3 linked regions of the Kluyveromyces lactis genome follow. The main gene of each other region encodes a partner of the protein of the gene in region 2 in a complex. Links are inferred from orthologs where the notes say so. Each region holds a gene or a part of one and is shown on either strand. Other genes may lie near its edges.

Evidence for each region.
Region 1: RPA49 (region 2) and RPA14 share a complex: the UniProt entries of both Saccharomyces cerevisiae proteins name them as parts of the RNA polymerase I (Pol I) complex. The link is inferred for Kluyveromyces lactis from reciprocal best matches to the Saccharomyces cerevisiae genes RPA49 and RPA14.
Region 3: RPA49 (region 2) and RPA135 share a complex: the UniProt entries of both Saccharomyces cerevisiae proteins name them as parts of the RNA polymerase I (Pol I) complex. The link is inferred for Kluyveromyces lactis from reciprocal best matches to the Saccharomyces cerevisiae genes RPA49 and RPA135.

The regions. Positions count from the first base shown.
Region 1 is NC_006040.1:1,414,607-1,417,126, reverse strand, and holds RPA14 (DNA-directed RNA polymerase I subunit RPA14), read right to left. Parts: upstream 981-2,520; coding exon 501-980; downstream 1-500. Other genes in the region: HOM2 (aspartate-semialdehyde dehydrogenase), read right to left, coding at 1-32; peptidylprolyl isomerase CPR1, read left to right, coding at 1,454-1,942; ENT5 (Ent5p), read left to right, coding at 2,421-2,520. UniProt on the Saccharomyces cerevisiae protein: DNA-dependent RNA polymerases catalyze the transcription of DNA into RNA using the four ribonucleoside triphosphates as substrates. Component of RNA polymerase I (Pol I) which synthesizes ribosomal RNA precursors.
Region 2 is NC_006039.1:266,326-269,499, forward strand, and holds RPA49 (DNA-directed RNA polymerase I subunit RPA49), read right to left. Parts: upstream 1,885-3,174; coding exon 646-1,884; downstream 1-645. Other genes in the region: MPA43 (Mpa43p), read right to left, coding at 1-430; JJJ3 (Jjj3p), read left to right, coding at 2,344-2,832; KLLA0_C03003g (uncharacterized protein), read right to left, coding at 2,990-3,174. UniProt on the Saccharomyces cerevisiae protein: DNA-dependent RNA polymerases catalyze the transcription of DNA into RNA using the four ribonucleoside triphosphates as substrates. Component of RNA polymerase I (Pol I) which synthesizes ribosomal RNA precursors.
Region 3 is NC_006038.1:556,560-560,822, forward strand, and holds the start of RPA135 (DNA-directed RNA polymerase I core subunit RPA135), read right to left. Parts: upstream 2,833-4,263; coding exon 1-2,832. UniProt on the Saccharomyces cerevisiae protein: DNA-dependent RNA polymerases catalyze the transcription of DNA into RNA using the four ribonucleoside triphosphates as substrates. Component of RNA polymerase I (Pol I) which synthesizes ribosomal RNA precursors.

The sequences.
Region 1 (2,520 bases), on a different chromosome or scaffold from region 2:
GCTCCTAAGACACCAGCGACTTTCTTACCCATAGTTATAGTATATTATAAGTAGTGATTCTTTCTTAATCTTCCTAAGCAAGATTCAGATCCTCTTTATCGCTTTAGAATAAATACGATCAAGAAAATGAGATAAGTATATTAGAAGCAAAGTAGAGCAACGATGAATGCTACAAGTGTGTACAAATATATACCTGGTAGTAAGGAATCGGATGTTAATGTTGATATTCTTTTCAACTGATGTCATATCACTTTGACGAAAAATTCCAACTGACTCACACTCTCTCTGTGTGAAAGAAACCGCAGGTGAGCCCATTGGAAAAGAAAAAGTTGTGTATTTGAAGTCACGTGGTATGTTGCAATTAGGGTGAGCTCCAAGCTTATGCATTGATTATAACGGTCACTGTATGTAACTTAGCGTATGTATGTATATATATATATATATATATATATATAATGAATGAATACCCTCCCGATTCGTGGGTAGTGCAAATCAGCCGTCTATTCAGAGTCTGATGACGATTCCGAGGATGAGGATGTTTGTTTGCTGTCACTGGAGGTTTGTGAAGATTCCGGCACATCAGCAAACTTGATCTTTTTCCCTCCAGTAGCAGATTTAGCCACCGTATCTTCTTCTGTATTACCAGTAGAACTTGTGCTGGAGGGTTCCATCTCCATTACTTGAGGTGGTAGACCTTTGAAATCTCTTTCGACTCTTTTCAGCTGCGCAAGAGCACTGGAAAGCTGTGTATCTAGAGCCATTTCATCGGCACTAATGCCACCAGAAGTTACTGCTCCCTGGGTTGTAGAAGCTCCGCTTGACGCTAGTGTCACGCCTGGTACTGATTCCTTTTCGGCAATGAAACTTGCTAGGAATTGTAGTACTTCGTCTTTAGATAGGTATGTTGGCGTGCCCACCGTATGTACCACAACGGGCGTGTTCAAAGTGGAGTTTGCTGGTCTTCTAGTTCCCCTTAGCATGGTATACGTGGTTGTTCGTTGGAGTGCGATGAATCAAATCAGCATCTATATATTTACCCAACCTTTGGCTATCTCATCTCATCTCATCTCATCTCATCGCATTATTTCGATTCAGGTTTTGTCTCTCGAAGAATTTTTCAGCTGAGGCACGGGTAACTCAGGCATGTTTCTCCGTGCCTTGCGATGTTAACAAAATATGCAAGTCACGTGTGTCACGTGACTTGCGGCGACAATGCGGTTGATGTGTAAGATAATGGGGTTTCCGTTTTCGTTACCCGGCCGCATGTCATCACCTAATACCATTTTGCGAAGCCAACGCCACCCTTTGTTAGCAACTACCAACCACTTTCTCAATTGAACTCTGATTCAACTTCAATCCAATTCCAATTCAAGTCCAGTTCTTGCTCTTCTGTTCTGGTTTGCAAAATCTTGGTTACAACACACCAAGTATCAACTACTAAACTAAACTAAGAATGTCTAAGGTATTTTTCGACGTGGAAGCTGACGGTCAACCATTGGGTAGAATTGTTTTCCAATTGTACAACGATGTTGTTCCAAAGACTACTGAAAACTTCAGAGCTCTAGCTACTGGTGAAAAGGGTTTCGGTTACGCCGGCTCTGTTTTCCACCGTGTTATCCCAGACTTCATGTTGCAAGGTGGTGACTTCACTCACGGTACTGGTGTCGGTGGTAAGTCTATCTACGGTGCTAAGTTCCCAGACGAAAACTTCGTCAAGAAGCACGAAAAGCCAGGTTTGTTGTCCATGGCCAATGCTGGTCCAAACACCAACGGCTCTCAATTCTTCATCACCACTGTTCCATGCCCATGGTTGGATGGTAAGCACGTCGTGTTCGGTGAAGTCGCTGATGGTTTCGATGTCGTCAAGAAGGTCGAATCCCTGGGTTCCGGTTCCGGTGCTACCAAGGCCAGAATTGTTATCGCTAAGTCTGGTGAATTGTAAGGAAATAAGCTAGGGAATTGACTCTTTTTTTCATTTTAATCCTTTTTTCTTCCCTTTATCACACTTCAATCGCTCGGGATATCTATATATATACTTATGTCTATAACAACCCATTGACTAATTGAGTGTATTTGATCTCACTCAATTGGTAATGGAAGACACTCAAATACATATATACAACACCCTTTTATATCAATGGAAGTTTATGACTAGATCATCATCTCTCCTCTTTGGCCATTAACAAATGTAGCTACCCAATGAAAATGGTTACCCGGGCCTGTTCCCTTTTCTCACCTGAAATTTCCCAATTTAGCTGCCCTCTGCAATCAGCGCAACCTTTACAAGACTTTTCAACATAAAATAATGATCATGATTAATGATCAGTGAGGATACGTTCGTCATTTCAGTGCGGTAACCCGTTGTATCTGCAGTGGTACGCTATTGATCACGCTGGACAGGCTATATCTTATCAGTAAGGATGGATTCTATTTCTAAAAAGTTGGGTAATTTGGGTCTGCATGATTTCAGAAATGCTGCAAGATTTGCACAGAACGTTATAGTTCAGTATGAACCATACC
Region 2 (3,174 bases):
TTGCCATTTCAGGGAAAAATTTCCCGCCGAAGTGGCATAAGATTGATTCGTCTGTAATATTGTTGAGATATTCCGTCTCCTCTATAGCTGCTGAATGCATCCAAAAAATGATATCGTGATATCTACCGTTCTTGTCATGAATCAAATTGAAGGGAATTAAGTTCTCATCTTTCTGTTTCCCAACCACCATCGAACAAGTTGCTCCTACACCCAATGAACAAATGTTGTACTCCTGGATATATAAAGTATTGAATGCTTTTTCTACAGCAGTTAAAATATCAGAGGTACATTGGGTAATGATCCCATTTCCATGCCTAAAATAAGGGACTTTTTCTTTCGTTTCCTTGACTAGGCTATCAGTATAATAATCAAAAATACCTATTCTAAACTCGGTAGATCCCAGATCGACACCTATCCCAACATCTTGCATATCCACAGGTTCTATATATGATGTTTAAGTTCTAATTTCTCGATTATACCATCACTTTCTGTATTCTTTTAGTTGATCATTATAAGATGAAGGTTGATAATACGAGATGAATAATTCTTTTTCTTTATATAGTAAAATAGATTTCTGAAGAAGTGTAGATCAATTGCAAAAAAGTATTATACAAACGCATGTTCTACTTAAATCATAGGGATAAGCTACCTTCTTGGCCCTTTACCTCTTCTAATCATTTCTGGTAGCTTGAATGGTACCTTCAAAGTTGCTATTTTATACGTTGAGGCAGAAGACTTTGGAATGCCAAAGGCTTCAGCTTGAGCTACAGTAGCACCCTTAACGGTAGCACCTAAGATTTTGAAGAGACTGACAAGCTTGGAAGGCTTTAAGTTTAGTTGTTGAGCTAAAGGTGGGACTTCAACAATGAAGTTATCCAAATGCATAATAATTACCAAAATATAACATAGCAATTTGTCCTCCCTCTGTGGATCGATAAAGAATGACTTATCTTTTGATCTACCAAATTGACCAGGTCTAGAGATGGTAAACCTTTCCAAAATGCCATTTAATAGGGCATCTGGAGGGTTGTTTATTCTTTCCAATAATTTTGTCTTGTTGTTAACTCTTCTGTTATCGTACACCCCAGCCAAAAGTGATAAATAATATAGTAATTGCAATTTTTGCATTTGTGCTGCTTGTGTTAGAGTTGGCAACTTGTTAGCCACATATTGAAATTTAGTGTATGGGAAATATTCTAGCCTCTTTTCTGGGTCTTGCTCTTTCATGATACTGCCAACGCGAATAAATGACCATTCCTTTTTGGGTATTATGTTGTATAAAGGATAAATTTGTTCCACATCTGTTGCGTCTAAATCAGCCAACGGAGTTGGTCTATCAGAAGATACAGTTTCTTGCAGTTCTTCCTTTGAAGGCAGTTCTTTCGAAGCAGTCTTCACTGTGTCTACAATATCTATCGCAGAATCAACCAATTTGTCTGAATCAATACGGTTTCTTTCCATATCAGCAATGGCCTTCTTTGCCTTCTTAGTACCGAACGCCTCACCTAAAGCGTTTCTCATCAATGCAGCACGGACGTTAGCCTGTTTAATGTCAGGTCCCATTAGGTTCTTTCTAGATTTGGAAAGAACCTTGCTGGATACCAGTGGTGCCTTGTACAATTCTACAGACTTCGTGGCGGCATCATAAACACCAACAACATACTGAGAAGAATTAACAAAATCATCGTCAGTCTGACCTTCATATTCTAGTCTATCGTTTTCACCATGTAACACGTATTTGTCGCTGTTCTTCTTGTTCTTATATAGCTCGAAGGTGGTATCTTTTGGTGCCTGGAAGCCCTTAAAGAAGCTACTTACAGCAACAGATGGTTCATCATGATAAGCTGAAACACCAACCTCAGTGAATGCACGTTTGGAACCCATCTCCACACTCTTAGTTACTACACAGTCAGCTTATTTCGGACCTTGGGATACCTTTCAATGATGTACTAATTTCCCAATATAGTTTGTGATCGATGCTTTACATCTCATCTCATCGCATATCCAAAAATTTTTCGATCAAGGAAAAAGAAACAAGAGTCATGTGACCGAACCATTGGATTATTGAGTTGGAAAGACGAAACTTCGACCGTTTGCCAGATTAATAAATGCCTTTTATAGTACCTCGTTACACCAAGCTTAGTCAGGACGCCTTACTTTTTCTGCTGCATGTTAAACCTGCTTTTTCATAGATTTCTGTGTTGTATTTCGTTCAATGCTCTGTTAGAGGCGATGAGGTTAGCTTTTGATATTTCATTGAAATGTTGACAGACATCAACAAAAAGCTATGTCAGCACTTATACCAAGTTGAGTGGTTCTGTAGCAGAACATCCAGTTATCATAATGCAACGATCCTTCTATGAAATTTTGGGCATTGAAAGCGATGCCAGTAATATCGAAATTAAAAGAGCTTATAGGGCCATGTTACTGGAAACACATCCTGATAAATCTGGATTGAATTATAATTCCAACGGAAACAATACATCTAGTCATTCTGTTACTGATATCCAGGAAGCTTACCAGACCCTCATTGATCAGGATTTGAGGAAAAAATATGATGAGGAACTTGCTGAATCGTTCAAGAAACTTGGCTTTCACAATGCAGGTGATGGTCTAGATCTTTTCTCTCTAGATCTGTTCGATTACAGCGGAGATGAACAATCTTTTTCGATGAATTGTCCCAGGTGTCAAATAACTGATGGGTTCCAATTAACCGAAGATGCTTTGGAAGAACATGCGATAGATTATGAGGGAGGTGGATATTTCGTATTGGTGCAATGTTCGGCTTGTTCACTATGGTTGAAAGTCTTATTTGACGTTATGGAAGAGTGATGTGACATATCAATTATGTTTTCACAATTAAAACCTGAAGAACTTCCTTATATTGTATCTATTGTGTCATGAAAAATTCACACTATTTACAGGTATGTTTCTTTACTTATGCATACTAAGAGCCACGTCAAAAAGCATACTGAATGTATCTAGATTTTTACGGTTCTTTCTCCGTATTTGTTTGCTCAGCGTCCAATATGGAAATGAAGGCTTTAGAGATAGCTTCAAAGTCTGTCATGAGGCTTACATGTGGCATTTCGCTAGCTATCTTTGCTACAATAGGAAAGCCGCATTTTTCTGGAAGTAACCACTTGTGATGTACAACACCGTCACCAGGTCCGT
Region 3 (4,263 bases), on a different chromosome or scaffold from region 2:
TGGTTGAATACCTGTTTCACTGAACGGCATGTCAATAGTTGGCCATTTTCTAGAACAGACACCCTTTTGACCGTGTCTGGAAGAGAATTTGTCACCGATTTGAGGAGTTCTTCTGATACGGTATTTAATGGTAATTGCTTGCAGTTCTTGGAATTTTGAAGATTCGTCACCAATTAATTTAACTTCCTCGATATATGCAGGTTCAGAAGAGTGGTAAGTTTTGATCTTCGTTTTATTCAAGGTGTCATCAAAGTATGCACAAATTGGATCACCTTCTTCAACGTAGGTACCTATCAGTGGTAAACCATCGTCGTCAAGCTTTTCAAGCCATTCCTTGGGCCACTCGTCTGTACCGAATCCGAAATGCTGGGTAATTGGATCACCACGGCTTCTGTTCATAGACAAATTGACCTTTTCCACCTTATACATTGTACCATATCCAAAACCTCTTTCATCAGCCGATTTGTTGATAATCATTGCATCATCCATATCGTAACCAGTGTAAGAAATAACCGCAACCACTGCATTGGTACCGTTAGGGAAGTTATCCATACCATAATCATCGTAGAGGTTAGCCTTAACAATTGGTGTCTGACCGGTTTGCAACCTGTATAATTTGTTATCAGAACGATGGCATAGAGCCACACCAGGAGTACCCATGGTTTGTTTACCCATTTGACATTGGTACATATTTCTTGGAGATTGATTGAAATCAGAGAATGGTGTTAGGTTAGCCAAGATAGAAAGAATGTTTGTTGGAGAGAACTCAACGTGGGAATGAACGTTATTTTCGATTTCTTCCGGAGTCACAGCAATATTCATATATACTTGTTCAAATGGACCCACAATATCTTCCTTATCTAATGGAAGATAACGCACCGGACGCATCATTCTAGAATGACCACCAAAGAGGAAAAGACCGGGGTATTGACCACTAGTGGTAGGTGGAACATATCCAACTTCCAAGTCTACAGGCAAACCCGGAGTCTTGCCTTCCACTTTCCAGAATCTCAAAGTGTCAGCAACGACCTTACCCTGTTCGTGAGAACACCAACCGATAATCTTACCATCTAACTGAACGCAACACATGGAAGGACCAGCAGCAATGACGTGTGCAGCTGGAGTGACACCAAGAGAGTACAAGATGGAAGGTATCTTTGAAACATCTGATTGTTCAGTAGAAATTTTACATTTATGCGAAAGATGGTTCAATAAACCACAAGGAGAACCATCTGGAGTATGCACCGGACAGAAGAAACCCCAGGATTCCGGTAACAACTTTCTAACGGTAGTAGTCTTTAATTGAGCAAAGAAGGAACCTCTATGCACCATTCGGAAATGAGAAATGAAACGGTAAAAGTTAATCTTTTCTGCCACAACAGTGTAACCAGAAACTTGCTGCAAATCTAGACCAGATTGAGAAACCAAATTACCAGTAGATAAGAAATACTGTAATTTTGACCCAATGTTTTCATTGACTCTCATAAGCACCTTGTTCATATATTTTTGATCCTTAAAGTTGATAGCTAACCCACGATTTATGTCTGTTTGAATTTGTAACCTGATGTTTTGTAGGTATTCTTCAATTTTTTCCTTGACAATCATACCATACAAGAACCCACCTAATAGAATTTCTTGATGTTGAGCTGCATCAGGATTATCTGGGGAACATTCACCAGCAACCAACGAATAGAGTTTTCTGATCATGAATAATAGCATGTTGAATTTGTCTTTGTTGTTTTCACCAAGGTGAACTAAAACAATACGGTTTAAAAGTTCCTGGCCGACTTGCAGATCGGTCATATCGGGAGAGGCTTGGAATACAACACGGAATTTGTCACCCAAATATTGCAAAGTTTGTTTACGGTTTTGTAGAGTTGGGTATCTCTTCTTGAAGCCACGTAGTAACAATTCAAGACGATCTGTCAAGAAAGAATTAGAGGTGTCTCCACCGACAACGTGATCAAAAATCTCTCTATCATTGGTATCGCATAGTGCTCTTAAGATCATTACCACTGGAATTAAATATTCATTTTTCCTCCAAGAGAACCTGAAGGTAACTTGACCATCGTTTAAATAATGCAAGACGTTAGTTTGAGATGTTTGATCTGGTCTAACGGATCTAATCTGAATACCATATTGGGAGTAGGAGGCACCTCTGTTAGCAAATGAAGGTCTAATGATAGCCATTGGATGGTTTCTACGTTGCACAATTAACATTCTGATCAATTTTTCGATACCATTAACAATGAAGTAACCACCAAATTCATCAGATTCTTCCCTATGTTCGACTAATTCGTATGGAGACATCTTGTTCAAATGACATCTATTGGACTGAAGCATGATTGGCAAACCACCACAGTCTCTTACTTCAGTAAAAGTTTCTTCACCATCATTGACCGACCATTTCAACTTCAGCAAAATTTTCCCTCTGTATGAAGTCAATCTCTGTCTGGATTCAGATGGGAAAACCTTGCGTTCTACTGCAGAAGAAACACCATCGTTAGAAGTTGGTTTAGAAATAGACACCTGTTCAATACTCAAAGATAATTTGTTACCCAAGTAGTTTGGGTTAGTGTCCGATCCCTTACCATCGAAAATAACTTTGGATCCAATATCTTTTGCCCCTAGGTTTAACAAACCACCATCAGGTCCCTCAGTCAATGCATTGAAGGAGCCAATGTGTGGCTGTACAGCGTCCGCTAGGAATGGGTATGCAGATTTATCCTTTGGAGGATTAATAAATCTTGATTCTCTTTCCAAAGTCCTGAAACTAGCAGTTCTGTTCAAACGCTCAACTGGAGCTTGTGGAGGAAGAATAACCGAAGACATGGTAACAGCTGATATATCTTAATGGTATTATTATTAGCACTGTCCCGCTTCCTATGAATCCTGCGAATATTAGCCACCGGTTTTATGATAGAGCAGATAACGTATATTAGGTCAGAACAGTGAAAAAAGGCACAATGGTTTTCGGTTTGAAGTAATCGAAAATGCTGTTTGAAGATAAAATCAAGCTATCCTCGAAACAATGGAATTCAAGCTTAGAAGAGAGAGTATTTTAGTTAATTGAATGTTGTTGCTTGTCAATTAGACTGTAGTGAATAAAGAATCTAGATATAGATGAGATGAGATGAGCTGAAAATTTTCAAAAGCTGATATTTCAATTTTTGCAAAAGTTCTTTCTTTTCTTTTTCACCACGTCCGTTTGATATTCCTCGCAAGTCACGTGAGAAAAAAGAGAAGAATGATGAATTATTATTATTATTATTATCACATGACGACCGTCTCTGATGTGAGTCAGCAAAGGACTCCACCAGACATCAATTCTGCCTTGTTGGCGCAATCGGTAGCGCGTGTGACTCTTAATCACAAGGTTGGGGGTTCGAGCCCCCCACAGGGCTTTCTTTTTACCCCCCTCATTTTTCCTTTTTTTCCATCAACCATTTCTCCGTCATTCGAAGCATCAACTTCAAATTCTGGCCGCCAGTAACAATAAAAAAAAAGATCAACACACTAAGAATGGAAAGAGCTCCAAATATAAAACCACCCACGGCTTAACCAAAACAATACATGTTACTGAATTCTTTTCTGTACCAATAAGGCAAATGTTTCCCCCAACACTTCGCAAATGAGGTTAAACGAGGAGAAAAAGGTACCAAAAAATGGTGTGGTCCCAGCAACATTTAAACTCTTGGCGGTATTAAACCCTTCCTAATCTGTCAGGCTTTTCGCAAATCTAGAACTAAAAGTTACTGCTGAACTGGTCTTTCTTGGAAGAAGAACACTCACAAACTGAGTAGTGCAGGTATGTAGCTGAGGAAAAAAGTCTACTGGAGACTTCCTGTCTCAAACAGCAAACAGATGAACACCTTCCATCTACACTAAGGTACATCGCATATTCCCGTATTTTCAAACAATTTCCCAAATCGCTTCTCGTTTTCCGTTTTGCTAACCCCAGCAGTATGCGGTTATTGTGTCGATCTGGTCCTTCTTGTGCCTTTTTTTTTTGTTTACCTTTCCAGCTACTGGAGTTTCTGAGCTTTGCAGGCTCCAAAATGGCATCCTTCTGAACCGACGTACACGTGCTTCTATTTCCGTCTTATAGAGTTTCGAAACCCTGCCGAGCAAAAGAAACAAAGCCAAAGAAAACTACATGACAGGATGACGTCTTTTGGAAATTCACCAATGGGGTTTTCTCAGAAAACCCTATCGTTTATGCTCGCAAAGAAAAAGGAAAAACACATTGAAAAGGGAATGTTA